4 linked regions of the Arabidopsis thaliana genome follow. The protein of the gene in region 1 interacts with the protein of each later gene in a pairwise test. Each region holds a gene or a part of one and is shown on either strand. Other genes may lie near its edges. The genes, in order: WRKY17, ATHB13, RING and FIB.

What was found.
Region 2: the proteins of WRKY17 (region 1) and ATHB13 interact in a two-hybrid assay, tested with the Arabidopsis thaliana proteins (one large-scale study listed by BioGRID).
Region 3: the proteins of WRKY17 (region 1) and RING interact in a two-hybrid assay, tested with the Arabidopsis thaliana proteins (one large-scale study listed by BioGRID).
Region 4: the proteins of WRKY17 (region 1) and FIB interact in a two-hybrid assay, tested with the Arabidopsis thaliana proteins (one large-scale study listed by BioGRID).

The regions. Positions count from the first base shown.
Region 1 is NC_003071.7:10,434,641-10,442,783, forward strand, and holds WRKY17 (WRKY DNA-binding protein 17), read right to left. Parts: upstream 4,830-8,143; 5' UTR 4,583-4,829; coding exon 3,924-4,582; intron 3,433-3,923; coding exon 3,304-3,432; intron 3,214-3,303; coding exon 3,036-3,213; 3' UTR 2,713-3,035; downstream 1-2,712.
Region 2 is NC_003070.9:26,255,270-26,263,312, reverse strand, and holds ATHB13 (Homeobox-leucine zipper protein family), read right to left. Parts: upstream 4,526-8,043; 5' UTR 4,148-4,525; coding exon 4,012-4,147; intron 3,931-4,011; coding exon 3,548-3,930; intron 3,214-3,547; coding exon 2,848-3,213; 3' UTR 2,532-2,847; downstream 1-2,531. UniProt on the Arabidopsis thaliana protein: Probable transcription factor that may act in the sucrose-signaling pathway.
Region 3 is NC_003075.7:10,711,667-10,719,090, reverse strand, and holds RING (SBP (S-ribonuclease binding protein) family protein), read left to right. Parts: upstream 1-4,345; 5' UTR 4,346-4,455; coding exon 4,456-4,511; intron 4,512-4,599; coding exon 4,600-5,458; 3' UTR 5,459-5,681; downstream 5,682-7,424.
Region 4 is NC_003075.7:1,928,616-1,936,897, reverse strand, and holds FIB (fibrillin), read right to left. Parts: upstream 5,016-8,282; 5' UTR 4,738-5,015; coding exon 4,292-4,737; intron 3,950-4,291; coding exon 3,754-3,949; intron 3,667-3,753; coding exon 3,352-3,666; 3' UTR 2,948-3,351; downstream 1-2,947. Other genes in the region: AT4G04025 (transcription repressor), read left to right, coding at 2,289-2,804, 2,875-2,889. UniProt on the Arabidopsis thaliana protein: Probably involved in light/cold stress-related jasmonate (JA) biosynthesis. Contributes to the protection of photosystem II (PSII) against light stress.

The sequences.
Region 1 (8,143 bases):
CCTTCTCAGCCTCGACATCCAACGAAAATATACGCCACGAGAAATGTGTTGGACCAGATTCTGAAACCCGTCGGCGGTTTCGATCGATGTGGTGGCTCCATCGCTGTTGCCTTCTATACGGTGGCTGCGTCATAGTGATTGTGAGGTGGTGGCTCTGATGCTTTGCTTCGCAATGTCTAAATCAACTTATCCAGTAGACCACGTCCATAAATACTTAAAAGACTATGATTTTTCACTATCAACCATCTAAACATATCGACGACATAGATGAATATAGACAATGTTATTTAAAAATTTAGAGTGTAAGGTTTTAGATTTAACTATAGCAACAAACTTAACGCATGACTGGCAAACAATTGTTAAATAAGAAATGGATTAGGTTGATGGATGCTTATATATGAATAAAGTGGTAAATTTCCCAACTGGGTTCGACGCCCGTTGAGAAGAATCCGTTTTCCAAATATGATGAATTTAATAATTTGTTGTGGATCCCGCCTCTAGAAGATGTAAGACCTTCTTGCTTGAACTTTCAGATATTAAAAAAAAAAATGCTATGCTAATTATTATGACGCTAACACCATTTCCAAGAATTCATTTCAAAATACTTAATCCTACCTTCTAAACTCAAACTGATTTATAATTTGGTTTAAATGAATAATACTAACCCTTATCCTTATCTTATAAACTCAAACTGATAGGTAATTCTGTTTAAATGTATAACATCAAACCCTAACTACCTTATGAACCCAAACCAATACGTATTTTATTTAAATGTAAAACAATAAACCTTAATTCCTATTTATAAACTCAAACCATACGTAAATTCGTTTAAATATATAAAAATATATCTTAAAATCAAACGAACAAGGAACTATCCATATAAATAGGTGTCTAATCTACATTAATTCGTTTTTAAACATGTGTTCTATGCTAAATGGACACAAAATAGTTCAACTGAAATTGTATAAATCGTATGAGAAACTAAACAAATTAAGTTATGTCAGATGTTTTACCTCTTTCTCCCATCTTCTCAAAATTACGACAGAATTCAATATCCTTCTCCCATAGATAAGACCTTTTTAAGCCACAATCAACAAATTATCAACCAAGTAACAACACTTTATAAACACTAGTAGCATTAGATATGTGAAGATCTCAATCGTCTTAATTTCTAGTAACAACCACAAGCACAAAATCGATTTGAAAAGGAATCTGATCCGAAGCTGGAGGGGCAATATCATATCCAAAACATCCAATAGAACAAAACTTCAAAATACTCATAAACAAACACTGCAAAAAGTATTCAATTATGACCAAGTATGACATATTAATCAAAACTTTGAAATACACATAAACAAATGCAAATATGTGTCATACCTTTAGTGAGAACTTATGTTCCATAGCGCAAATGTTCCTTAATATTGTTCCAAAAATTATTTGTCTTCCAACATCATAATGATTTCGTTGACCCTCAAATCCGCATTAATTCATATTGTTCAACCTCCACATCTAATATCTCCCAACAACTCATTGAAATCTCTTTTTGACTTTCTATAAACTTACATAATAGTCAAACATTGCATTAACAACCCCATTCCAAAAGTCTAACCCTCCATTAAATCAACGGGAAAAATGTCAATTAATCCCCTAACTTTTAAAAAATGGCCATTTTATACATCAATTTCGTATGCGGCCGTTTAAAACATGAACTAAAAGTTGACTAACTTTTAAAACATGATTATTCGTTGACCAGGCCAAAAAAGACATGCCATTATCAGTCATTAACGGAACTTCTAACGTCCGTTATCATCCGTTAACAACTTTATTAGTCAAGTTATAAATTGTGGTCATTTTAAACATCGACTTTATATGTGGCCATTTTAAACATGAACTAAGCGTTGATTACCATTTAAAACATGAGAAATTCGTTGACCAAGCCAAAATAAACATGTTGTCATCATTCATTAAAAGAACTTATAACATTCATTATCACTTGTTAACGACTCTATTAGTATCCCTAAAACGACTTTGTTTTGAGAGTAATCAAAAGAAAATCAGGATTGTTTTCTAAATGAAACCCTACTTCCCCAAATCTATTTTTACAACCGCTCAAACAAGACGAACAATCTTATAATGAGTCTTCAATTTGCTTCCATGATTCCTTTTAAAATTTAAAACAAATATATAAACGAAAACACCTTTATTTGCTTCCAATTACTGGCACTGCGATTATCTCTTTATCAAACTATGTTCTTGGGTTCTGCTTAAAACTTTTTGATATGGAGATTTCATATGGAAAAAATCTTTATGTTCTTTCGATTATTCTTGAACGACGTTATTTTGGACAGATTAACAGTCATTAACGGGTTTCTAGGTTCTACTGATAAAGACATGTCTATTTTGGCCTGGTCAACGAATTTTTCATGTTTTAAATGGTATTCAACGTTTAATTCATGTTTTAAATAGCCACATAAGAAGTTGATGTTTAAAATGGCCACAATTTGAAACTTGACTAATAAAGTTAACGAATGATAACGGACGTTAGAAGTTCCGTTAATGACTGATAACGGCATGTCTATTTTGGCCTGGTCAACGAAAGATCATGTTTTAAAAATTAGTCAACGTTTAGTTCATGTTTTAAACGGCCACATATGAAATTGATGTATAAAATGGCCATTTTTTGAAAGTTGGGGGATTAAATGACATTTTTCCCCTAAATCAACCATCACAAATCATAACTAGATCAAACAGAGTAATGGTAACTTTACGAACCATATCATTAAATACATATGCCTACACATTTATATACCAATTACTTTGCTAAACATCATTTTCTTACATGACACCACTAAATATATCAAACAAGAAATTATGAAAATGTAGTAAGAATTTTTTCTTTCTCGGTAGTAAGATTAAAATCCATTCAAAAGACTACTAAAAAAAAATCTAAAACTAATTTTGTTATAGAAAAAAAATTACAAAACCAACCCCTCTATTTCTCAAAATATTACAAAACTACCAAACTAATTAATTCTTCAAGCCGAACCAAACACCAAACCACTCACGCTAGGAGTTACATGCTCCTGCATCGTGGACTGGTGATGACGGTGCTCTCCTTCGTACGTCACAATCAACATCGTTGAATCATCCAAAGCTCTTTCCACGTGTTTCCTCGCTGGACATCCTCTAAATGTACTACACTTGTAATAACCCCTGAAATCAACAAAAACAAATCACAACCGTTAGATCTCCAATGTTTCACAAATAAATCAACGGTGGATAGCGATGGTGTACGATAGTTACCGTGGATGTGGTGAGCCTTTGATCGGTTTTTGTCCATACTTTCTCCATGAATATTCGTCTGGTGGTATATCGGCGATCTTTGCACTTACCGCCGGTACTCTCACGGTTCTCTTCATCCGATTTTTTCGGCTGTTAATTAAATAATAAAACATTGTAATTAGTGAAATGATTTAACGTGCGCTGACACGACTAACGTGAACATGCATCAGGTTAGCAAAAGTCAACGGGCAGACAAAGACTTTTAAAACGTAAAAACTTTCCCTATACAAAACGACAGCACCCACTAACTTGTCCTTGTCAGGCGTGCACTTTGGTTTAAGTTACTGTCGTTGACTTTCACTAAATACATTGACCGATTGGTTTAGATAGTACCAAACCGGTCTACAAAGTATTAAACCCGGATTTTTATTCTTTATTTTTTACTGAGACTAGTTAATTTAACTAGTAGACTTGTTCATGATTGACAAATTCGAGGCAAAAAAAGAATTTTGAAATCTGAATTCGTGATATATTTTCACTGAGTCCGTGAGCGATTGGTTTAGACCGTATCGAACCAAACAATTAACTACTACTAGGCTAGTCAAACAAATGATTAATTTATTGTGGAGTAATAACAATACCTTTTCTTGCAATGGCACTTGCCGTTGCCGGAGCCAGAGATCTTGCCGGAAAAGCCTTCAGAGTGGTCATGTTCAAAGCATCTCTTCCTGTAAGGAAGACCAGAAAGCGGCGGTTTCCCGGAGGAAGTCACTGGCACCGCTGGAGCCGGAGCAAGAAAGATCGAAGAGCCTTTAGAGACACTTCCATCACCGGTGATCGCAGAAGACATGAAAGAAGAGTTAGAAGATACGCTAAAGCTCTCTTTAGCAAACTCAACAACCTCCGAGCTCTTGGTTTTAGCGCCAAAAACGCTCGGTCTAGTGAAATCTAACGTCACGCTTTGTTGATTTGCCTGAACGAAGCTAACCGGTGCTGGAGCAGAGATCTGAGTGGGAGCCGGAGTTGTCACTTTCACCGGTGGAGGAACGGAGGAGGAAGGAGGGGAATGAACCGGACCACGTCTAAACCGGGCGTGACCGGAACGGTTAAGAAGAGAGATAACTTTCTTGAACTTAGAAACTGTGAAATCAGTGATCTCAGAGCAATCAACGTTACGTTCTTCGGGACGGTTAGAGAGGACACGAATCAAGTGTTCCATGCTTTTTAAGCCTTGTGATGCAGCTTCTTGTATAGCCGTTTGATCTTCCATCTTAGGTAAACGCATAATATCAACGGTCATGATGAGAAACCAGAGGAGAAACTTGAAGATCTGAGAAGATGTGCAAGTTTTTTTTGATGAATGAGAGAGCGAAACTGGAAGAAAAAAGAATGGCGTTGGCGTGATATATGGGGTTATGGGTGTGACCGAGTGACCGGTTGAGTAGGTTTAAGATGGAGTTTAGTCAAATCGGTGCTTTAGATCTAACGGCTGAGATTGAGTTGAAGATTTCTATGGAATAAAGTAATCAAAGTTTGGTCTCCTTGAGTTGTGAGATATGTAGGGTCTTCTTTTGTGCAAAGCAAGAATTTATAATCGTGTCTTTAAAATAAAGGAATCATTGTGCGTAAACTTGAATTTGGGGAAAATGGTGGTAAAGGAATTTCAAAGAAACAAAAAGTCAAATAAAAAACATTAAAGGATGGTGTCTAAAGAAAATCATAAAGCTTTTTTAAAGTCTCATATCTATTTTTTCTTTTATTAGGTATCTTATGTCTTCAAGTTCAAGTCAATAAATTTAAAATTAAAGGTAATGAATTGTTTTTATTTGTATGAACAATTGGGCTGATTTTTTTTTGTTTCTTTGGAATATTAGAAGGTCTTTAACCAAAATCCATAATTTATTCTTGAACCAAATCAAAATATGTAATATTAATTTCATCTCAAATCACATATTTTTCTTTAATAGGACTGGATTTTGATAGAATAAATTTTCAGCTAATTGTAAAATGGTATTAATTTCTTTTGTGATTTTGACTTTTGATAATATATTTTATGTTTTTTTATTTTATTCGTGTTAAGTTTTAGGCGTTATTCATGTTCTTTTTATGTTTTTGTGTTATTTTTAGCTTCAACCAACACTACAACTTGTCAATATTATATGGTGCACACATACCAAACTCGTGTTTGCAGCATATTTTTATTATTTCAATTTCTTTCTAGAATTATTACTAATTTTGCAGTGCATTGACAATAATAATTATTTGAAAATAATATTTGACTCCCATATTAACTTTGCACCTAATATATATTTTTTTTTTCTTACCTCATAGCCTTCTAGAAAACGTCTTGACTGGAAAACTAGTAAATTGAAAACAATCTTTTCTTGACTTTTAATTTTACCTAATTAATCTACACAGATTGTGGAACAATTAACAATCATTAATAGAGATTAAAGGCTATAATAACAGCGACAATCGTTGACTATATCTTATTAGTATAGTCTACAAGTCTTTAGTTGAGAACAGCGATAAAGAAAAACGACAAAGTAGGAAAACAAAAGCTGACTACAAATAAAATAAAAGTGATCACATGGACGCATTTCTTTTTAAAACACAGAACTATTGACTACCTCGGTAACCGAGTGATTCCGGTTAACTATTATCTGGGCCGTTGATAATCCAAAAGTTAGATCCAACGGTGGATCTGTGAACTGTGGAGTTGACTCTTTGATATTATTCTCTTTAACTACTTTTTTTTTGAGAATCTAAAAAACACCTTTTACCACGGCAACTGATCTTCCGACACGTGGCAATTCTGGCTGACTCATAAATTGTCACCTGTCCACAAGATTCTTTTTTTTTTGTTGCTTATAGAAATAAAGTAAACAATACCAATACAGTTAGGAATGGAGGAAATTAAATGAATAAAAAGAGCCAATTTGCAGCTCGATCTAATCCTACTTGAGGAGATAATTTGAAGTTTTCTCTACATTTTTCTAAATAAGGTTTAATTGGTAAATTTTTAATCGCATTTATAAAATGGCATATAGATTTTAGAAGATTTATTACTAATCACCAAAGCAGAAACATGAGTAAATATTAACATTACTATAAATTACTTTTTAATCTTTTGTTTACTTTCAAACTTCAGTTAAAACAACTCTTTGTTTCAATACACCACCGTTTTCCGGTGATTTCAGTTTGTCGGAATATACATGTTTCGATAATTTTGGTATATGCAGTGTTTTCTTGTAGTTGTTATATGCAGTGTTTTCTTGTAATTATACTTATTCAAAAATTCCAAAGTTTTATCACTTGTAGAAGAAAATATCAACCATACTTACTTAGCTGAATTCTTTTAAGCCAAGAAGACTACATGAAAGAAAAAGAAAAAGAAAATTACGACGTGTTTTCTTTGTCAATGATATATGACGTGTTATGTGTGCAAAAACAGACCTCAAGATGTATAATTGAAACATTTTTAAATATTTGTCAACGGAATGCATTATAAATTAGCGACATGGGAATCGTTGACCTAACCGACTAATATATATGATTGTCGTGCACGTCTACATTTTTTTTAAAAGCATTTTATTTTTTCATTTCTGATTTTGTAAACTTTTACTTACTTTTAAATTCCTTTTCTATATCAAATTTTAATGTCCTTTTCTAAATTTATAATTTATGAATCTCTAAAAATATATTATACTATATATTTCAATGTTATCTCCTCTAAAAATGTCTCCTTTATATCTTATCTAAATTATCTTTTCTATAAAATGGTCGCATAGAAATAATAATCTTCGCGTATTTGAAATAATTGTTTTGTTAGCCCATGCAAAACGAATGAGATCAAACCAGTGAAAGAAGACACATGTTGGGTAAAATACTTATTTTGTATATGTTGTATCTATGAATTCATACGGTACTAACGAACGAAGTTTTATTTTTTTTTGTTTTTTTGTTGTTTACGTATTTCAAACTTCCAACCATTGTTTTTTTTTTTTATAATAGTACGGTCAATATTGAATTTTTAATTATTAGTTAGTGGATGATAGAAATAATGCACATTTGTTATCAGAAAAATACAATATATAAGCCATGATGTATAATTATTGCTATTCACTCGAGAAGATTTGGCTTTATTTATGCCAAAGATACTGAGAAAAGATTTGGGGATTACTTAGCGAATTAGAGTTATCGATTTGAATAGTTTGTAGAAGTCAATGTAACCTCCACGAGATAAATTATTGGTAAATGTATTAATATCTATGAGATAATGATTAATTTTTTAATAAACTCAGATTATATTTTTAAAATAAAAAAATTAACTTAATATTTTTTTAAAGAATTTTCGATTACGTTTAAAAAAATTTAAAAGTTAGAGAATTAAATTTTTTACCGGTCGGAAATTTGTTTTTATTTGTCTGACCATCAATTTCATCAGAAATGATATTGAGATTTTTCTTTTTGTGAAATTCCTCCATTCTGCCTTGGAGATTCATAGGAGTTATTAACAAAAGTGTACGAAACAGTCTCACCACTATACGAACGCCAAGAATATGATCTTACGAAAGATGTTTTTACTATTGACTTCAAACCCGTAACACTAATTTTTATCTTAGGTTACAAAGTGCTATCTCAGATTTCGAATTCCACCTCTTGATTACTATAAAGCATTTGCTGTAAAACAATTTTTTTGTTGCATAGAATATTTTTATTCATAAAAAATTATGGTTACTTTGGTTGATGTTTTAGTATAAAATCGTAATAGAGAATTTAATTGTATTTTTAGATTGTATGATATAAGTTGTATGTCTTGAGTTCTAGATATAGGGGAAATCAAAATGGTTCAAAAATG
Region 2 (8,043 bases), on another chromosome or scaffold:
ACTTCAATAGAAACTTTGAAATATGAAGATTAAAAGAGATATTTGAAACTGATATATTTATATGGCTAGCTAGTTCCCACTTCAAACATCTACATGGTATGGATATGGAATGTGTGTTAAAGTTCATGGTATGGATTTACGATCGTTTAAACAACTTCTTATAAAAAAAATTAATAAGGATATATTTATAATTTTCTATATGTGATGTTTAAGTATTCAAATCATGAGTGGACCAAGGTAGGGGTAAGATATAAATTATTAAATTTAAAGAACTTATAGCATAACTTGTAAATTTTGGTGTATTGACCCACTATAACCATGTTCGATACTCACATTTCAGTTAATAACTATTTTTTAATTAATACTCTCTCTATTTCAAAATGTAAGAGACATTTTTATTTTGTTTCATATTATAAGATGTTTTGCAAGGTTCTATACAAATTTAAATATATTTTTATTATTTTTAACTATTTATATGCTGTAATATTTTTTATGATTGGTTAGATTTGTTTTTATTAAATACAAATCATATTTTTTTTTTAAAAAAACTATCTAAATATTTGTATTTTTATCTTAAACATCTTATATTTTAAAGTAAAGGGATTAATAGTTATGTTGTATTTAACGAATTTTGGGGTCCGCCACTAATAGATTTTTTTTTGTTTTTTACCGGCACGGATAGAAATCTTATGACATATTCTATCCCAAAAGAAATAATCAGGCAACAAGCTTTTAACTACAAAAGTTCAAAAATATACGTACCCAATAACATTTATAACTAGATAGCAAACGTAAGGAATGTTTTACCACATGTACAATTCTATGATATAGGATTTTATCATACAGACACATGCACACAAGAAGTCATTTCCTAGTTGTACAATTTATAAGTATATTACGTGGAAGTGATAAGAGTGAGCATATAAGTGTAGTTGAAGCATCCAAGTTTACAAAGGGTCCATTAACCAAAAAAGCAAAGCAAACCAAACACGGTTAGCTAAAAAGAAAATTGTACTTTAGGAAAGAAGTGGGTGATTCTAGTGGGTCGCACCAACGCATTTCGTTTGATATGTTTTGTTTTGAATTCTTATAGTCATTTAGAGACTAGAGAGATCGTGTTGAACTAGAGCTACATAGTATCATTTGCAGTATTTTTTTTAGTTAACACCGAGTATCGAGATATTTTCTTATGGACCTTTGGGTTAACACCAATAATTTTCAACATGGGGGTTTGAACATGTTAACTGTTTTGATTTTTCAAATCTAATGAAAGTTAAAATATCCTTTGATTTTAATCTAATTTAGGATTCTATAACTGGCGACACTTCAGTTCTCTGGTTTTAAAAAGTTGGCAATTCACCACTAGTTCTTTAGAAGAAAAAATCAACGGTGTTCTAGCCTACAACCGCTTTTATATATGGCGATCAATTTTTTTGGTTCAACATCGTTGAAGCCAACATTGGCCTTAGTTTCTCCACATCTTTGGGTATTAAGCAACTTTTATTTATAGATTTTGTCGCATTCTTTTGTCGCTAGCATCTTTTAAAATTTTAATTGATTTTTTCTAATGATTGGTTCAATATTTTTTTTAATAAACATAGATTGTAAGTGAGATTTCAAATTTATCACCAAAAGGAAACATCGAATTCTTTAAGAAATTTCCAAAAGTTTAAAAGTGTCGGCCATTTGAATGTGGAAGATGAAAAGGAGTTAAAAAGGAGAAGAGTCGATTAAAAAGGAGAGTGACAACTTTCCAACCCCAAATTGTTTGCTTGCTTTCTTCCAACTCTCTTTGTCCTCTTCCTCTATCTCCCTTGGAATCTGTGTGCGTCTAATGTCTCTTGCTGCTTCTTTTACTCTCATCAAATCTATAATCTCTTCTACTTAAAATCCCATATTATCTTAAAGAAATTGAGGATATCTGATTTCTTAAAATATTTTTGTGTTGATGAACCAAGACTTCTAATGGGACTATGCATTTAATATATGTCATTGATAGATGAGTACTATTTTACACGGTGACACATTATTTTAATGCATGATATGTTACTTGATACCTCATCAATATTTCTGCGCGAGAACGAATGGCATTGTCATCAAACCGGACAACAAAGGTTTTCATCAAACCAAACTCTAATTTGCTGTCTTTTTTAATATAAAAACAAACTATAATTTGCTGATAGTGATGTTAGATTTTTTTTTCTTAAAAAAAAAAAAAAGACACACACGGTGAAATGAATAATGTAACTGTAGAATAAGAGAAGGGTTATGAAATTGATGGTCTGCGGCATCGTCAGATTTAAATATCGTACGTCTTTTGTAAGGTCTCGTGATTACAAATTTCACTCGTTTAGATTTTGTCCCATCATTTTTCTTTGGTCCTTTTAACCCGCTCGACCAAATCATGACATATGCAGAATTTATTTCATGGATTTAAACAAAAATAATGATTTGTTTCATGGAAAATGTCCTTTTCATTTGTGCTATTCCATTTATTTCTTCCCACTTCTGAATATGACGACTACGACCACATGGTGCCAGTACCCACGACTAAACTATATAATATACAATTTATTTTATTTTTCTCCATACAGAAAAATGTTGGGCCATAATGATATTATTTTTTATATAATATAATGGATATTACCCATTTTTTTACATCTCATTTACTCAAAAAGTAAACAAAAAACCTCAGTGGTGTTTGGTTGCAGATTTCAAAGTGAGCTAATGATATAGATTCCAGTTTTTGAAAACATGCATGGGTTCTTCTGATCAAAATTCCAAATACAAAAAAAAAAAATATAAATTTTTTTAAAAACAAAAACAAAAAAAACAGGTAGACCAATTTCAATTGTACTGTTGCTGATCAAGCCATGGCCAAAAACCAGAATGGTCATCCATTGCACAGAACATGTTACTGATACTATTCTCTTCTTTAACCATACTCTGTCCTGAAGATGAGTTTTGAAAGAACTGCATTGTTGTAGTAGTTGTCGTTGCGGTGGCTGGCGACGGTGGGAAGAAGTGTCGACCAACTGTCTGTGGTGGCGGTGGGTGGCCACCGGTTAATGTACTGTCGTTTGATGGCGGCGCAGTTGAGATATCTAGTCTGAGATTATCTGAACTGTTATCACTTCTGTTACTGCAAGATCCTTCAGTTTCTTTGTTTAGATTTATTGATTCTGTTTGTTCTCTGTTTTTTAATCCCATTATCTGCGTAATTAAAGACAAAATTTTAAACATAAACAGAGTTACTGTACAATGTGATAAGCATAAAGAAACTATTGTTTTCAGATCTCTTTCCAGACAAGAGTGAAGAAAAAAAGAGATAATGATGTCTGAAAAGTCATGAATCATGTCCAGTTTTTTAACCCTACCTGAAAGCAACTCCTGATCCAAATAATTATAAACCAGAAATATAATTTTTAACCTTTTTTAAAAAGAAAAAAATCATCCTTTAGATGGAAAATAACTGTAATTATTGATCATTAACCCAAAAAAAAATAACACATATTGATTTTTTTTGTTAATTTATGAGATTAATTACCTCAGCTTGGAGTTTCTGATTATGAGTTTGAAGAAGATCATTTTCAGCTTTAAGTGTATCAAACTGTCGTTTAAGAGTATCATAATCTTTCTCTAGCTGCTTTGTTTTCCAACGAGCTCTTCGATTTTGAAACCAAATCGCGATCTGTCTTGGTTGCAAACCTAAGGCACGAGCTAGCTGCATTTTCCTCTCTGGTTCAAGTTTGTTTCCAAGCTCAAAGTTCTTCTCTAGTGTCTTCACTTGTTCCATGTTCAATCTCCTCTTCTTCTCTCCCATTTGTGACCCATCATCTGAATAATCCTCTTCTCCATTCATATTGTTCCCTGTTTCTAAATCACAACACCCTTCCATTGGAGATCTCTTACCTAGAAACGAAGCAAATCCTGAAACAGAACAGAACAGAGCATTAGAAAGAGATAGAGAGAAAACAGAGGAGATGTGTGTGGAAGTTTATGTATATATACCATGGAGATCTTGAGGTAGAGAGCAAGAAGGAAGAAGAGGAGCAAGAGATGGAGATTGATGAGGATGATCATCTTCGTAAGAGGTTTGGATCATGAAATTTGAAGGGAAAAAAGACATTCCATTATTACAAGACATCTTCTTCTGTTTTGCAACAGAAGTTAGTACTGTTTGCTTGAGATTTTGGTCGTTTCTCTTTAGTTTTTTCTTCTTGCCAATCTTTGTCTTAAAGCCATTATCATGGTCTTATAAATCTGAAGCTCTTTGTGTGAGAGTTTGAAATCAAATGGAAAAAAAGAAGAAGAGGAAAAACAAAAGAGAGAGAGATAGTGAAATGTATCGGCCTAGACTATACCACTTCTGGTATTTAATTTCTTCTTTATTTCGTTTTATATAGAAAGGCTGAGAGAGAGAGAGAGAGGACATATGAGCTGAGAAGAGAAAGAGACGCACTCAATTGATTCTCTCGTTAAAAAAAATAAAAATAACACGATCAAATACAAGCTTAAACTTCATTTACGTTAAGCCAAAGTATATATAATTATTAACTCCAATTTTATCTTCATTTTCGACAATCGTTTATAGATAGATATTTTTTTAACCATTGTTGGCTTCCAAGTAAAAGTGGGATCCAATTTAATTTACCCTGGTATATACTTACTCTTTAGTCTTTAGGATAGTGGATTATTGTGTGGTGCGCTGAGATTCATCTATAAATAAAATTTGCATCAGACCACAACAAAAGACACAGTTTGAACTTTGAATATGATATTGAGGTGTAATATCTACTTTTAGTTGGAGATAGAACAAAAAAAATGGGGTTAAAAAATAAATAAATGTAATTGCAGATTAAAAATCGTAGAATTGACCAAAACATGTAATCTTAGTGTTTTCGTTGTGTTATTACTCATATCAAATTGGCATAATCCTAAATATTGTTGAAAATGAAAAAAGGAAGCAAATTACAAGGGGGTTTAGCTTGCGTACAAAGTGGAAAATGAAGAGATGATAATCAAAATGGTAAGAAGAGAAAGGACTCTTCTTTTTCCCCTTGGGAGAGACATGCAGAGAGGTGTTCTCTCTCACTCATCATACTTGTCCTTTAAATTTTATCTAATAACTTTTTCTTTTATTAGATTTGTCCTTTTTTTTGTAAGTCCAATTCTCATCTTAAATCATAACTATCAAAGTTGTGTCTCTCTCTCTCTTTTTATCATCTAAATTTATTTCTAAAGAACTTAATTTACAATTTATTTTTCGCTAAATCATTTGCATAGGCTGAGAACATATGTAATAAGTAGCTAACTAACGCCTTTCATACTTCTATTGATGTAAATTAATTTCATATATATAATGATGTAGTGATATTGGGGTAGGGACGAAGCTGGATAGTGAATGGGTCCAATGTTGATCCTATTTAATCACGCTAGTACGTATGGACTATATATAGACCCATCAAATAATCGTATTGTGTCTACATGGATTGACCTAGACCTGTGGATCTAGGGATTGTACATAATTTTATTTTATTTTTTGTGGGAAGAAGAGAGAAGTGATATTATTGATTTTCAGATGTTCTATGATGCTAGTTTTGATTATTTTGATGTGAAAAAGGAAGATTGAAATATTTAACAAAAGAAGAAGATAATAGCTGCACTTGTAAACCATAGTATAACTGTGATTTTTTTTTTAGTCGGATATATAGTTACTTTAAATTTGTTCGTTTTCATTCTTCAAATAAAAACGATTGCGGGTGAATTGGAAAGATCAAGGCAGTCAGAATAACATCAGAGTTCATAAGAAAATATATTATTTTAGGTGTCCGTCTTACACCACCCACCTTATCTAATACGGTCTTCATTCAGAACCTTAGTTTAATCTTTTAGTTCAGAATATGGAACGTATATAGTTAATCTTTATAGGTAACTGCTAAAGTCTATCGCTAAAAAGGTGAAAAAGTAGAAATTAAACTAACAAAATATAGTAGTGTAGAATTTCTCTATATGTATTGTTACTTCGTTTTTATTTAGAATTCATCATTTTTGTATGAAATTAAAGTTCAATAAGTCTAAAAAGTATGATCGGTCCAAACATAATTGAAATTTGGTCTGAAATAGAATGGAAAAGCAATCACCATCTCAAAATAGCGTTTAAACGAAAAAATTATATTGAAACTGTAAATAGACTTACAATATATACAAAAGCATGGATTATACGTATGTCCATGATCAACAATCTTGTAACATGTATTTGAAATTCTAGATCATGTCTATGAGAATCATGGTACATCAAATCTGATCTCATCAAACCTATTAGCTTTGACCTAACCTATCAACCGCAAGACAGATACCAAAACGAAACAAGAAATCAATTGACTACTGGTAATGCTATATGTATATATGTAGAGTAATATTGATTGACCAATTACAAAAAAGTTATACAATTAGCAAAATAACAATAATAGGAATAATCAATAAGTATCACAAAAGTAAAATTCTCGCTAAGAGAGAAGGGTTTCTCGTGCTATGTTGGCCGATTGATTGGTATCATATCAAATGGAAGTGATGCAAAAAATTCCAAATGCATTATATTAGAGAGTTACAAATATAAAATCTAATGATGCAATTTCTTAAAACCCTTTTGTTGTTTTCCATTTATTTAAAGTTCATATATATAACAGACCTGTTATATGTTAGATAGCTTATGTACACATGAATGCATATGTGCGTGTGTATATGCATGCATAGACAGACGTATAAAGATGGTGCGTGGGGTACTTAGGTTAAGGAAAAAACCAAACAAAACTACTATTTGATTAACCCCACATAAGAGCTGTTCTATCTTGTCTCTCCCTCCTTTCCTCTTCCATTCCTTTCCATAATCAATCTTTCTTTTTATTTTATTTTATTATTTTCTTAATTTCTCTTCCCAACATCCCTTGTGCCGTATTCATCGATGATGTTTACTCTAACATCATCAACCACATAATTATTAACATTTTAACGTTCATTTTCACTTTCGATTAGACTACTATTCATTACTTTGAGACTACTTATCCGTCTCTAACTGACATTTCACGCATCACATCGTGCCGTTCTGCAATCAAAACTTTTGTATCAAAGTACTTTTACTTATCCATGCATACATATAGCTTCACAAATACCCGAATATTTATTGAATGAGTATGATTTAATTTTTATTTTGTATGGAATGTGAATGACCCAAAAAGTTATTTTTTTTTTTGGTAAGGAAAGAGAAATTAAAGAAGTTATAAACAATCTGGTTTTTAGAAGACGAGTAAAAATTGTTAATTTCAACTAATTATTTTTAGTACTCAAGTATATATTATATTTATTGGCAAAACATAAAAGATGTAAACATCTAGATACATTTTAATCCATTCGAAGAACTTAACAAAAAAAAATTTCATACATTATATTACATTCGGTGTGGTACAGATCGCACGGTCAATCAATCTAAAGATCACTTGCGGTGATTGAGCGACGTTGTATGATTTTATCCATACTTCATATTGTTTACTGTTATGATCCATTCTTCACAAGATTGACTAGACGCGATATATGTGCACTCTTATCATCAAGAAGTGAAATATAGCGTATGATTAGATATGTGAATTTAAAGGCTAGTCTTACAAGTTGCTAGCGAATTTGGAAAACTTGTATAGTCGTTTTTTTTTTTCGGTATGATCACCCAACTTTGACGTATCTATTTCAGACACTATAAAAGCATATGTTTCGATTACTGTTTATCCAAATGGAAATGTCTCGCCCAAAACCTCAACATGAAAGTCAGGAAAGTCCAACAACGTAGTTTTCAAGAAGTCACAATATGTCCCTCCTCTCGTGTCACACCACTCCTAGTCCTAGCGAACTAGCTGCATAGTGTAAAATACTTTATATATGAAAAACTTAGACATAAATATATATATACGTGTGCGTGTGTGATGCATGTTTATTGTTTTTTATTCAGGCCTATATGCATTCTACATGTTTTAGATCAAGATGGTGATACAG
Region 3 (7,424 bases), on another chromosome or scaffold:
TCACAGATAAACCTTTTACTTTGAAATTATAATGGATATATACAGATTGTAATTGTGTCTTCCTAATTTATTTTATTTAGTAGTCTCAACTTTATCTATCTTCGTGTTTTCTTTACTTACACGTTGCTTTGCTTTAGTCCGGTTGTTACGTCTGTGAAATTGTCTTTTCAAAACAAAACCAAATTCACATCCCCCATATGCACAATGTTTCGTAAGAAATTTTCTTTTTATGCCGTATGTATACCCAAAAAAAAGTCACACACTCATACTTTGTGAAAAAAATAAGTCATACTCCCATGTTGACGTTTCGGCAAAATCGAGAAGCCCTAAGAAATTAACCTTTTCCAAATAAAATTATCGACTTCTTAAAAATATGTTTGTTGAATAAAAAAAATTCGTCACCTTAACCAAAGAAAAGAACATTATGCGACATTTTCTTTTATTATTACTTTTTCTAAAGAAAAAAGGGGGAGGTGATGATCGAACCAATTTACACCATGAGCATCACTTTTGTGAATTGACGATTCCTTCTAACCAAATAGTTTTACTAAATAATCTTTTTTTTTATCATTAATGCAATCATGTAATGAAGAGAAATAGTGGTGGTGGCTTCGGAGAATCAACCAATCAATATATATGACCCTTTCATGTTTTTATATTTATATTTTTAGACTTGTTTCATATTCATCATAAATATATATAGATATGTAATTATTTATCATAAAATCATAATATACATATTAAAAAACGGATCAACCAGACTAACCCTTAAATTAGAATCAGAATAAAATTAGAAAGAAAACAAAAAATGACCCGTGAACTAAAAAAAAAACGAATCGACCTTATATGTATATGTCATCCGTTAAACTCGTGCATAGACCAAGCCGGGATGGATCAATCTGACTGACACCTACTAGTAGTTGGTGCCGATAAGGATGGACCAATTCGAGTTTTCAAAAGTTATATATGTCGTTCTTCAACTTTCTTTCCGCATTTTTTCTTGTCTTTTTATATAATATGAATGTAAATATTAATGTCATGTCATTATCTGTTGTTAAAGAGAAATAGTACATACATAACACATAGCATATAAAACAAAATGAAAATGAAAAGGTTTAACTGTAAAAGGGACAATATAAACGTAGGAGTTTTTTTTGTGGAAAAAAAAACATCTATGTAAAATTGTCAAGTGGATCAAAATCAAATATTAAGTTCGATCATCTATGTAAAATTGTTGAATATTTGTTTGAGTCTCTATAAAGTATAAACATCTTAGGTGAAAAAAATATCTCGTTGTTTTTATAATTTTTGAAACTTAATTTGAAAAAAATATCTATCTATTACGCAAATAATTAGTAATAACTAATCCGCGACTGAAAGAATCAATGTATATGTTTATAAAATAAAGCAATTGACGACACTAGCTATATACATGATTAGAGAATTCAATTCACACTAGTTGTTTGATTTTAAAAAGTTAGGAGTTTTCATCTTGTCACGTTTCCTTCATATATAGCATGAACTCGGCCACGTACGTCCACATCTATCTTGTTCGTTTGTCTAACTTACGAAATCAATATTAATTAGAAATCCACATATAGAATATAAATTGAAAATGAATTTGAAAACGTATAATGGGACAAATAAGTAGTCTATTCTAAAATGATAAAAAGCTCTGAACAAGTGATGATGTTAGGCTTAGTTTCTGACATTGGAGCAAAATCGATAATTAGACAAACGAATATGTCGACAAAATATATATACAAATGAAGTTGAGAAAGAAAAGACAACCGAAGTTGTCTTTTTCGACGAGTCTGGTTTATCCTCAAAGTTGTTCAGTACTGTTACTTTTAAGGAAAATAATCGTGGTTTGGTCTTCTAAATTGATTTTTCTTTTAATATCATATGTGGAAAAACTTCTATTACACCAAAAAATGTTGTTGAGTTCAAAATAGATATGATGTATCGGTAAAGAAAGACTGAACCGATATTTACACAATTCTCGGTTGTAAAAAGAGATTGAGATCGTCCACTTTAACGTAAGTATTAGGGGTGGGCGCAAGGCTAGTACTTGCTATTTTAGGGATACTTGTTACTCGACTTGCCTTGTACGAGTAATCAAATAAGTAATTGTATTTGGTTTATTGAAAACGAGTACTTACAATTTCAAGTATTTGCTAAAATATGATTGCCTTGCGAGTTACTTGCCTTGTCCTGTTACTTGCTACTTGCGAGTTACTTACATGTACTTACGAGTTACTACTTGATATTCACGAGTTATTTACAAGTATTTACGAGTTATTACTTGCTACTTGCGAATTACTTGCAAATAAATTACTTGCAAGTAACACTTTCGAATTACTTAAAATTACTTATTATTTTATTTATCATATTTTTTACTTATTTAAAATTTACTTTACTTCTAATATAGTTTTAAAATGTGTCTAACACTAAAACAATACAATATATGTATAGAAAATGGTAAAATAATGACGAGTATCGAGTCAAACGAGTCGAGTATTAGTTTTTTTTCATTACTTGTTACTTGATTTGTACTTGCAAGTATCTAAATTATACTACTTGTTACTTGCCTTGTTAAAAACGAGCATTTGTTTTTTCAAGGCGAATACGAATCAAGTAGCGAATATAAGACGAGTAACGAGTACTTATGTCTAGCCCTAATAAATATATATGTGTTTTTTCAATAACTATAACAAAAATAATCGATTAACTCTTTTGTGCTCAAGTTACTATGTAAAAATTGGTATGAACAACATTAGATACGCATCATGATAATGTTTGTTTAGTGGATAAAAAATCGATTAACAATAAAAAAAAATAGAGAGAGGCATGAAAACGAAAATAAGGAAAAGAAAAAGACTATTCGTTTGGTGTGGTCGACCTGTCCCACACCGAGGAAATCACACTTTTATGACAAGACCTACTTGTCCGTACTATATAACATTATCGAATGATTCCGATTTTCTCTTTCCTTTTTTTTTTCTTTAATACGGAAATTACTAATTAAAAATTAAAAAGCGACCAGACGACAATTCAAGAAGCAAACAAAATTGGTGGTACCGAAACAATAAATCTTTTTTATTTATTTCTAAACAATTATTAATTTATTGAAAATTTCACGAAGAAATGAAACAGAAAGTTTTTCTTGGTCCCACTTAGACGTGGCCTCAATCTTCACATCATGGCCCCACACGCTTCTCACGTGCAACTTAACCAGTTACGACAAAACAAAATTAAGAAACATATTAACTTTAGAAATGTATTTACAATGGTTAAATTATTGTTTTGTGCCATTTCGTTTAATACAATGCACCGCTACATGATCTTAAGATAGCTCACGGAAAATTTAGAAAAGTAAATCACAAGTCCCAAATATGCCACGGTGGAAGATGACATGGCAGATATAAAGCGGAGCTTTGCCACATTGAATAAAATTACGAGAGTAACTTTATAGTTTGTAAAATTAAAATCATGGGAATGGTTTAAATTTTAAATAAAATAAAACTGAAGAAATGAAGAGTATGCATATTTAATACTATCTTTTGATATGAAATTTAATTACAGTAATCACAAAATAAGGAAAAGTTAATAAGAAAAATATGGGTTGACTAAAGAGAGGTTAATTTGGAATCTTTTTACAGAAGAGAATACAGTGAACTAACATAAAAATTTTATTAGGAAAGACAGCTTTACACATTTTTAAAAATGCATTTAAGGAAAAAACAGCTTTGCACCTTTTTTTATAGGATTTGCATCTTTAAATTTTAGAAATAATACAAAAAAGGATGGACAAGAACATAAAATCTAATAGTTTTTTCAACAAAAGAAAAAATCGAATAGTTTATGCTAATATCATTAACATATTAGCAAAAAAAAATTTATTGATTTTATAATGGCTCTTTGACTAGTCAAGCTTGCATATGTTTATGTGGATGTTGCTAAGGAAACATGCATGAGTGCATCAATAAATAAGAAAGAAATATTACAAAAAAAAAACTTTTTACACGTCCCAATATTTGCAAACTTCAAGAAAGATAGTATATATTGTTGAATAAAAACTTAGTATATTTTATATTTCTCTAGATTATATTCCTTTTAAGTTCATAAAATTGGTTGTTTCTTTTTCTTTTTCCTTTTACAAAAATCAACTGTATTTTACTAACATTTAATTTACAAAAACTTTAATTACTAAACACAATTGGTAATATACCATGAAAGTCAATATCTAATTTGAATTCATAATTATTCTAAATATCTAAAATATTTAAATAGTAAAAGTAATAAATATGTATTTATAGAAAATTAAAAAAATATTGACTTTTTTCTCTCCCTTAAATAAAAGCCAATCCCATAGATTTCTTCACCAGTCGCCACAACTCCTCCCTCTTCTCTCTCTCTTTGTTTCAGAATCTCTAGGAGCTTTTTTCAACAACAATGGCTGTTCAAGCTCATCACATGAACATTTTCTCTCAGTTTATATCACCAAACAGGTAAAAATCTCATTTTTATATTCTTCTCACAAACAAACTTCCTCTGTTTTTATTTTCCTCTAATCTTTTTTATTTTTGTTATTTGCAGAGATTGTGTTAAATTTCAAGAAAACATGAACCACGGCGAGTTTGAGTTTACCGGCGGTGAAGTTCCGTTAATAACCGGAGAATCTTTCGCCGTTGAGCCTTTAGCTGCGAAAGCCAACTTCAACAAAGCAGAAAGTGGTCTCAGTTACAATTTCACTGTTCCTCCTCTGTCTACAAAACGCCAGCGAGATTTTCAATTCTCAGACTCAAACGCTCCGGTTAAACGGAGGTCCGTAGCGTTTGACTCATCATCACCGTCGTTGATAAACGTTGAACTCGTATCTCAGATTCAAAACCAACAACAGTCAGAGATCGATAGGTTCGTAGCTCAGCAAACGGAGAAGCTAAGAATAGAGATTGAAGCAAGGCAACAAACGCAAACGCGGATGTTAGCGTCTGCGGTTCAAAACGTTATAGCCAAGAAACTAAAAGAGAAAGACGATGAAATCGTACGGATTCGAAACCTAAACTGGGTTTTACAAGAGAGGGTGAAGAGTCTTTACGTCGAAAATCAGATTTGGCGTGATATCGCTCAAACCAACGAAGCAAACGCTAATACTCTTCGAACAAACCTAGACCAAGTTCTTGCTCAACTCGAAACGTTTCCAACCGCTTCAGCCGTTGTAGAAGACGATGCGGAATCGAGTTGTGGAAGTTGTTGCGGTGATGGTGGTGGTGAAGCGGTAACGGCGGTTGGTGGTGGTTGTAAACGGTGCGGTGAGAGAGAAGCGAGTGTGTTGGTGTTACCATGTCGTCATTTGTGTTTGTGTACGGTTTGTGGTGGTTCGGCTTTGTTACGGACTTGTCCGGTTTGCGATATGGTCATGAACGCTAGTGTGCATGTTAACATGTCTTCTTGACCATCTTTTTTTTTTGTTCGTTACAATTTAATTTATATTTTTTTTGTTTCCTTAGGATTATATTCGCAAAAGAAATAGCAAATTGATTCTTTTCTTTTTGTAAGTACATATAAATTAGTTTTTGGTTAACTCTTGATTTTCTTACGACTTAAATGGAATCCAAGACTGAAAATTGCAAAAAAGAAAGACGAAATAATTTGTCGAAGAGAATTTAAAGGCTCCTCCTCTCATTATGTGTGGGAAAAAAAGAAAGAATAAATCATATAAATGAATTTAAAGTGATTCGAAAATGTTTTGAAAAGTAAATATTCCAGAGTTCTTTTTAAGTTGCACCGTTGTTTGGTTGCTTATTCTCAAAGTCGATCACATGAGTTTGAATTATCTACCACCTTTTAAAGATTATCATAGCGTCGATATAAATTGAAAAAGGTATAAAAATGGTCTATGGATATATACTATTGCAATTTGGAAGTATCCTTTATCTTTCCAACCCCGCAACTATATTCAACCAGAAGAATCATACTTCGCTATCGAAACTAAAATAAATTATGATAAAAGAAAAAGAAATAGTCTGAATTCGATTGTCTCAACGACATTTTCAGTTCATAGTCATTATAGTTGTCGTGTAATAAATATTTCATATTCGGATCATGTCATGTGCAGTGCATGTCTAGACAAAATAAAATACCCCCACTAAAATGGATTTTTAAAATTATATCCTATATTAATTCTATAAACGACGAAATTAGAACGATGAATACGATGTGTGAATTCACGAGTTACGATGATTGCGTCCAAGAAACGTTACCATGTCTCTATCCAATAATTTAGTTTAATTTATGTCTTAGAATTATTTGGATCAAATGGCACGAAACGAAATAGTGGCGAAAATGAAAATGGTACGACTCTGCGATGATTCGTACAGAAATTAATTAAAGAGAGAGTTTGAATTCACATTTTTCCATGTCTTCGTTCTTACCCATACTTATTTTTTTCCTTTTGGCCATGCCCCTACATTACGTAGTTACTTACCCTCGCCCAAAGTTTTATGTTATATTCACCTAACCCTATCTTTTAATTTGTTTATACTTTATACGAGTTTGGACAAGGGAATAAGAAAAAATAAATTAGTTAGTGATTGTTGCAAAGATAATGTTTGTGACTAATTGGAGCTTTGTCTAAAAAATTTACTTCCAACAATTCATAAGTATATTTGGATTGTATTCTTTTTTTTTTTCTGATGCGAAATACTCTTATAATTTTAGATATCAGAAAAAATCATGGTTGTTATTATTTGTGGGGACTATAAAAATCTATAAAGCGTTTCTAAAGTCTTAGATATTATTTTAAAGGATAGTTATCGTTTATTTTAGAATAATATCAAACATTATCGTCGTACCATTACCAAACCTAGCATGAATTAGAAGATCCGATTATCCGAATAACAACCAAATACTAGAAGAAGTGATTCCGTAAAAGGGCTGGCTTCTCAAATGGGCTGTTCGGATACTTCCATACACTATCTATTATTTTTTGTCGGTCCATACACTATCTATTAGGCTTTAGATTTCTTAATTATTAGTACTCTAGATTTGAGAGATGGAAAAATATTACACGGCAAGATACCTTGGAGAGAAAAAAGGAACATAGGAATACTATGACATCGTGTGACCAATCCCATTACAAATCTACCACAAGACATGTATAATGTGATAGATTCCATAAGAAAAAAAAACTAGAAAGACAAGAGGAGGCAATCATACGAGAAGATCGATATTACAAAGCACCCGACAACAACATATCAAAAGAATCAGGTAAAACCAGTTTCAAAAATGATCACATACAGAATTTTCGGAAAATTGTGAAATTACTTTCGTAGCCATGAAGTTAATGGCTAGAGTGACTAGACCCGTAACATTACCATATATCATTTGAACTGAAATTTGTTTGTTCTGAGGATTATTTT
Region 4 (8,282 bases), on another chromosome or scaffold:
CTCCGGACAGCAGATCACCATGTGTGCTCTCTTATTTCCGAAAGCTCATCTCATGTTTCAGCACTATTGGTATCTTCAACTTTAGTTGCTTAACTGTTATGTATGCTTCTATCTTTTTCTTTCGTGCTTTCCGTATGCCATTTGTAGCAGTGGTTTCTTTGGCCTTTGTAGCCTCTTTGATGTACTTGTTGAACCATTTCTCCATTGTTGGAGAGTAGAATCATTTATAAAAAGCTAGTTTGACCAAAAAAAAAAAAAAAAAACTATGAAAAGGAAAAACATTGTGTTAGTGTCGTTACTAACTGCGAAACGAACATCACTTTTTCTTGTTTTTTTTGTGTTGAAGGACCGGAGTTGTTAGACTAAAAAGTGATTATAATTTTCTTAGTTAATCGAAAGAACAAGTTTAGACCTAATGATAAAATGGTAAGGAAGATGTAATAGACAATCATAAACCCTAGAAAGTATGGACCATAATGGCAACATGTGGTTTAACTGTCAGCTTAACAAGTTGATAAGGTACTTACTGACTGTATTTAGATCAACTTTAATCAATTTTTTATTTAGTCTTTCGTTTTAATAGTTCACTTTTTAGTTTAACAGCTTAATTAAAAATCCATAACCAAAATGAAAAGTTATATGGATACTGTCACATGACAAAATCCCCAAAAGACCCAATTCTAAAATCAACAAAGACATAAATCACCACAAAGTGATTCTATCCAGCGGTGTAACATCTTTTGGGGTTAATCTCCAATTATTGCATACTCTTTTGTTGAATAACACAAGATAACTTGTTCGTAAAGACATTAAGCTCCATTTCCCTTAGTAATAACTAGGTAGAACCTTTAAATTGTTTTTTATCACCTCAAGTTCTATTAATGATTGTATTCTTTCTTACTTAATTGTGTTGTTGTGTCCGAAGGAATTTAGATGATACCATATCATTGTCTCTCAAGTGATCTTATCTCGACCACTATTTTCATGGTAAAAGATTATATACCCTCCAATAACCGATCCACAAAGATTCCAAACACAAACACAAACAATTTCTTATCATGGTTTTAATTTTTCTACATCGTATAATTGTTATCTGGTTCAAGTCCAATTGTTTTTACTTACTTTTTTTTCTATCTTTCATGATCCAACTGTTCTCAATATATATTTACCAATAAAAGAACAATAGATTATAAATTTTTCTAAACCCCAAAGCAAAAATGAGGTATTTGTACAAGCCAGCAGGATAAAGCATGTCTTGTCTCCAAGACACAACCATACGTTATCTCTTAATCTATCATTTATATTTAACGATTTTAACCAGCTTTTACTATTGAACTGCATTGCATGAATGATGAAATTACATCATATATAGGTTCTAGCGAAATCATGTATGGCACATTGCAATTATGATCTATTTAAAATTTAGTATGTCCTTTGAGAGAATGTTAAAACAAAAATCGATATCAGTGGTTTTCATTTTTTTCTCTTTCTATTTTTTAGTTGGGACAGATGATGTCAACTATTACATATTGATCACTTTTTCCACATTACCAAAAACTTTAAAGTTTAGATATCTCATCTTCAACAACAACAACTAAACTAAAGTAGACATGAAGATGGTCTACATCACATCATAATCAAATTAATCACCCCTATATTTCTAAAACACGACACAAATACATGCATTTAGTACTCCTTTCTTCAAAAAAAAAAAAAAAAAACAGTTATCTTCAATCAGACCTAATGTTCTCTATTATATTCCTACTTTTGATTTGACATATATTTTTCAGAAACTACAACATCTTTTTTTTCCAATAAGCCTTAATTATATATTAGTTAAGTGATAGTGGTCGATTTATCATTGTTTCAATGACTTGAAATAATGAATCAAATTTCACTGAACACACTCTTTTCTTTGATCTTGTAGAAAATTTATCAATTCGAAAAATTAAATGAAAGTTCAATCTAACCTTATATATCTAAGTGTACGACTTTGTATTGCATTATGAACACAAATCGTAGATACTAGATAATGATTTTGAAGAATATAAATAAATAAATATTAGTTTACACAAATGAATAACGTTGGAAACTTGTTGCGAGACTAAAATTTAAAAATATATCGTTTATTGAGGTTTTAATTATATTATGATCAAGACATAATCATGATGAACAAGCCCCACATTTTCAATTTACACATAAATGTTTTAATTAGAACTCTTTTCTATTTGCGTTTACAAACATCTAAAATCCTCAAAACCTGATTATAATGTGACTTAACTTTCAACATGAAACTCATAAACAGAGCAGAAGAAAAAGCAGAGAAGCATAACAAACAATCACAACACCAAACAAAAGAAGCAAGAGTCTGCAGAGCTTTGTGTTGCAGCAACAAAGCAAGACTCAGCATTTCTTCTTCTTCCTCGGTGGAAGCAGACAAGAGTTCAAGATTTTCAGACCATCACGGTTCGCTCTCTAGTCTAGCACACTACATGGTTCAGGAGAAGCTAGAGCAGATGATCAGAGAGACACAAGAAGCCACACATCAAGAGAAGATAAGACAACAAAAGATGAGAAGAAGAAGAAGAAGAAGTGAGGGTAGTATCAGTAGCACTAAGTTCATTGTCATGATGGCGATGGAGAAATGTTCTTTTGATCCAAGAAAGGATTTTAGAGACTCTATGGTTGAGATGATTGTAGCAAACAAGATCAAAGAAGCAGATGAACTTAGAAGCCTCTTGGAGTACTATCTATCGATGAATCCTCGCGAATATCGGTCTGCCATTCTCGAGATCTTTTACGAGGTTTGTGCTGATTTGTTTCGTAGCTAAGAGTGAACAAAGATCAGTTGTTTCTTTCAAATGTTTGTGTAAGATACCTGGTTTGTAACAAACCGGTTTTCTAAGTAATAAATAGATTTACCACCATTCATAAACCAAAAATAACTGAAATTAAAATTACAGAACTAGATACAAATTTTGGTTTCAATTTGGTATCCCCTTTGTAAACTCAAACCAGACCAAAATGCTGACAACCTGATCCAATCCGAGTCAAAAGTTCGAACTGAAACTAAACCGGAAAACCGAATGCCATACAGAATGCAAACCCTCCTAGTATACCAAATTTGAACCAATGCTAAGTGTTGCTGTTGCAAACCCATAACTGGCCTGTTCAAGTATGTAGTTATGTATATGTATTGTAGTACAGTATACCAAGAGTAACATCCATTATAAGTTTATAACTCTCCAACAGGTAAAGAAGCTATATAACAGTTACAACACTAGTAAACATAGACAGATGGGTCTATACTTGTATATATGTTACTATGGATGTGATGAGAGTTATGATGATTTAAGGGTTTAAGAGAGAGCTTCCTTCTTTGATGAGCACATAGACGCTTCCACCATCGCCTCTCGAGATCCGAAGGTCCTTGTCGAGATAAGTTGTGAGCAGCCACGACTGCGTGTTGTCACTAGGCAGAGAAAACTTCAATGGTGGTTGGTTTGAAATGGTTCTAGCCACTGAAGAAGCAGTGTCTTGGACTGATGTAAGTAAACCTTTAATGGGATTGAGATCGATTTTCTGACCAAGAACCTCCACGGATTCCGGTATTTCAATCGAATCCGTTAGCTGAGGAGTCCCTATAACACCTTGCTCGAACTTAATCTACAACAAACAAAACAAAAAAAACAATTAGGTTATGTAACATTAGCATTTGCCATTTGTGGTTTTAGGGGATGATTCTTGATTTACCTGGACACGTTTAGGACTTCGGATTTCAAACTTAGCGTTGGTGCTAAACGACGTTGTGGAAAACGGACCAGCGAACCGGACAGAGTTTTGAACGGTGAAGCTATCGGAATCAATGGTTTGTGAGATCTCATCCACTTTAACCAACGGTTCAATTCTTCGTGAGAGCAATGGGAACAACCCCACGAACGACGTGTAGCTTCACGAGATAAACACTTAAAAACTAAGTTCTTGATTCATAACAATAACGGCTAAAAATAAACGAAGGCTCATAACTACACACAGAATCATAATCCAAATTCATAATTAAATCTTCTTTGTAACCACAACTTGCTTTTCACTATCAAAATCAAATCATTCATAACGGAACTAAACAGTTTTCACCGGGAAATTAAACTTCCACCGGTAAGTTTAAAGTATCATTAACTTAATTGGTAAAGATCCTAGACGAAGCTTAGAGATCACCGGTTTGAGTAATGTTTGGGACAAAACTAATATTACATGCCGTGCCTAGGAGAGTATCAGAACTAAAAGTACTTACGCGAGGATCCATTTGCCGTTGAGGAGAAACAGAGCTTCGTTAGGAGCTGGAGTAGGGTTCTTAGACTCGAGCTGTGTGATGAGCTCGCTGATCTCAGCTCTCGTATCACTCGATACGCTTAAACCTCGATCTGTTCCGTACAACGAATCCGCTAGTGATCTCTTTAGCCTCTCCGTCTCCTCCACGGATTCGATTGCTTTATCTGCTACCGATACGGTTGAAGATGAGGCAAATACTCTCTCCACTCCATCTTGACCCCATTCGTCGTCGATGTCCGTCGCTCGGATTTTGAAATCTGGCCGATGAACAGAGACTCCAATCTCCGATCGCCGATTTATTGAGTTAATCGGTAGTAGGATCGGAGATTTCGATTGGTGTTTAGTGTTTGATGAGCTTGGATTTAGGGTTTTGCAGGGAAACTGGGTGAACAATGGTACCGTCGCCATTTTTGTGTTTGTTCTTCAGAGAAACCTCACGAATTAGGATTTTATAACCGTTGAGCTGGACTGTAAATGACGTATATACCCTTATCTGGTACACTTTCTTATGAACATATAAGTCAAGATCCAAGGGATAGAATAGGTATTTGGAATAGAACAAATGAGGTAAGCTAAGGTGGGATTTTGACACGTGGATGGTTAAAGATCATTGTTTTAAGAATCGACCTGGACTCGTGTGAAGTTGCCGACTTTATGAAAAATTCATAAAATTTGTGGAAGATTTTATTTTCTTCAATAGGGAAACAATTTGGTTTAATTTGGTTTTTGTCCCATTATTTGTGTGGGGGAGAATTTGTTTGGGTTTTCTACGAGAGTTAGGCCATGCAATGCAAATGGCATGATGGATCTAGAATCTTCGGACGTGTACTATACTTTTTGGCCGGTTTTGGTGATCTTCGATCTTCAGTTTTCTGAACGGTGAAGATTCTCTCCAATGCAAAATATCTAAACGGCGATTAATCAACAGTGTAATAAGTAGTTGGACTAAATGGGCCTGGATAGTATATTTAATGGGCCTTTATTAACAAAGAAGACCCATTAAAAATTTAAAATGAATACAATAGTTTTGTATCCAATAGACCAATAGGTCCAAAACGTTCTTAAAGGGAGAAAAATTAGCTGGTAAAATAATAGTACCGGTGTTTGTTCAAAAAAAATAATAATAATAATACTGGGCAGGTGTAGATATTCGGGTACTCATATCTGTTCGGTTCTTTTTTTTTTTGAGTATCGGATCTATTTAGGTATGAAGTTAAAAACCATTCATGTATTCTAAAATTTTGGTTCGGTTTTGGTTTGAGTTTGGATCGATTTAGTTATTTTAGTAAGAATTGAAAAATAATCAAAAATACTCAAAATATTTTTGGGTTCAGGTCGAGTTCGAGTTTTTTACTCATCTATACCTAAATCTAACCGAGATGCCTGATTAGTTTATCCAAAAATATATTAGTTATATTTTACCAAAATATAACCAAATGTAACCAAAATACTTAAATTACTTAGAAAACTATAGGGTGAGTTAAAAATATATACATGGATAAACAGAATATTAAGAATTTATACATAAAAATATGTTATTTACGTAAATAGGAAAGAGAAATAAAATATAAACCAAAAAATATCCTTCCGGTTTAGATTAATTACAAAAATGCCATTGATTCAAAATACTTTAATATTTAATTGGGAGATTTGCAAAACTGCCCTTATTCTAATAACCTTTTGTAAAAATGTCCTTTCCTGAAGGCCATTTTTAAAACTACCCTTTCTAATATGGCAAATGACTGTCTTACCCTTACTGAATGATTAGGTTTCACATTCGTTTCACAATACAATTCGTTTTGGCACAAACTTCTTCGTTTTGGCCAACGAATTTTCCTATCCGATTTCACTCAAAATCGCCGGCGAATTTCCTCTCCGATTTCACTCAAAATTGCCGACGAATTTCCTCTCCGATTTCACTCAAAATCGCCAACGAATTTCCTCTCCGATTTCACTCAAAATCGCCGACAAATTTTCTCTCCGAGAAACCCCAAAATCGCTGACGAATTTCCTCTCCGATAAATCTGTTCTTCGCTGACGGATTCAGATCATTTCTCTACGACGCAAACAATCCCCAGAGATATCGATAGATCCGACGGTAACCGTTTTTATAATCGATTTTATAGTCGATTTTATAGTAGATCTGACGATGTTTCATAACATGTTTTGCAGATGGATTCAGAGAGTGAAATCCTTACATTGCCTGAACAGATCTACAGAGAAGGTGAGGAATCTATTGCACTGGGAACCGTTCAACAATACTTGGATTGGAATTTAGTTAGTAAAGTAGAGGAAGCTTTAGGCGAGTGTTTATTTCAGAAGATTAGAAGTTCGTTTCTTGGTCTTCTAGTTGAATTGGGACCAAAAATGAAGGCTAAGAAGGGAATCAGATTTTCTGGGAAAATCTTTCACTATCTCATGCAGCAGAGAGTGAAAACAAAAGGATCAACTCTTTGGTTTAGAGTTGATTCTCAACCTATCTGTTTCTCCTTGAGAGAGTTCTATCTCACAACAGGTAATAAAGTTTTACAATCGTTTTTAAAGCTTAATTAACTGTCGTAGAATGATTTACAAGGCATTTGCATAACTGTTTGCGTAGTTTACAATCATTTTTAAAACATAAGTAAGTGTTATAGATAATTTACAAGGGATTTTAAAAGCTTTTAAAAGGGGTTTACTTCATTAACAATTATTTAAGAAGCATAAGTTAGTGGCAGATAATGATTTACAAGGGATTTTAAAAAGGGTATGCATGGTTTACAACCGTTTTTAGGCATAAGTAACTAACATAGAATAATTTACAAGGGATTTTAAAAGCTTAAAGAAGTGTTAAACACGTTTACATGGGATTTTAAAAGCATAAGTAAGTGTCTTAAAACGATTTACAAGGGATTTTAGAAGTGTTTGCATGGTTTACAATCGATTTTAAAACATAAGTAAGTGGGATAGAATAATTTACAAGGGATTTTAAAATCTTTTCTAAGGGTTAAACATGATTTACAATCGTTTTTTAAGCATAAGTAAGTTGAATAGAATGATTTACAAGGGATTTTAAAACCTTTTCTAAGGGGTTAAACATGATTTACAATCGTTTTTTAAGCATAAGTAAGTTGAATAGAATGATTTACAAGGGATTTTAAAAGCTTTTAGAAGGGTTAAACATGATTTACAATTGTTTTTAAAGCATAAGTAAGTGTCATAGAATGATTTACAAGGGATTTTAAAAGTGTCTGCATGGTTTACAATCGTTTTTAAAGCATAAGTAAGTGACATTGAATGATTTATAAGGGATTTTAAAAGCTTTTAAAAGTGTTAAACATGATTTACAATCGTTTTTAAAGTATTTAGTATAAAACCTGTAATAATAGTCTCTAAACTGTCTTTTGTTCTTACAGGAATTCAATGTGAACCTGTTCATAGGGAACTTCGACGAAAGGGGAAAGATCCTGTAAAAGAACCATACTTTTGGGCTAGTGAAGGATCCTATACTCTTGGTGATCTCGAAGATCGATTGTTTTTAAAACCTAAGGAAGGTGAACCTGCTGTTGAAGATGAAGAAAAGTTGTGTCTTGCTGCAGTAGTGTTGACTGAAGGAATTCTTTTGACACCATATGGAAAAGAGAAGATACGTTTGCCAAGATTGCAGCATGCTTCTGATTTTGAGATGTACACAGCCCAACCGTTGGGTAAAGAAGCATTCAGTGTTCTATCAAATTCAATTCTGAGAATGGACGAGAAAACTTGGGCAAAAGAGAAATATGATTTGAGAGGATTTGGACTCGCGCTAACAAGATGGGTGTTGAGCGCAGTTCCAGCATTTGGTGCAGCATATGGAGTTAGAGATAAGGAATTCCAATCTGAATATCCATTGATATTGAAGTGGAAAAGCACTACTACTCCAGAGTTTTTCAAGGTCGTAAACCTTGTAAATGATGTTTCTGAGGTAAGCTTTT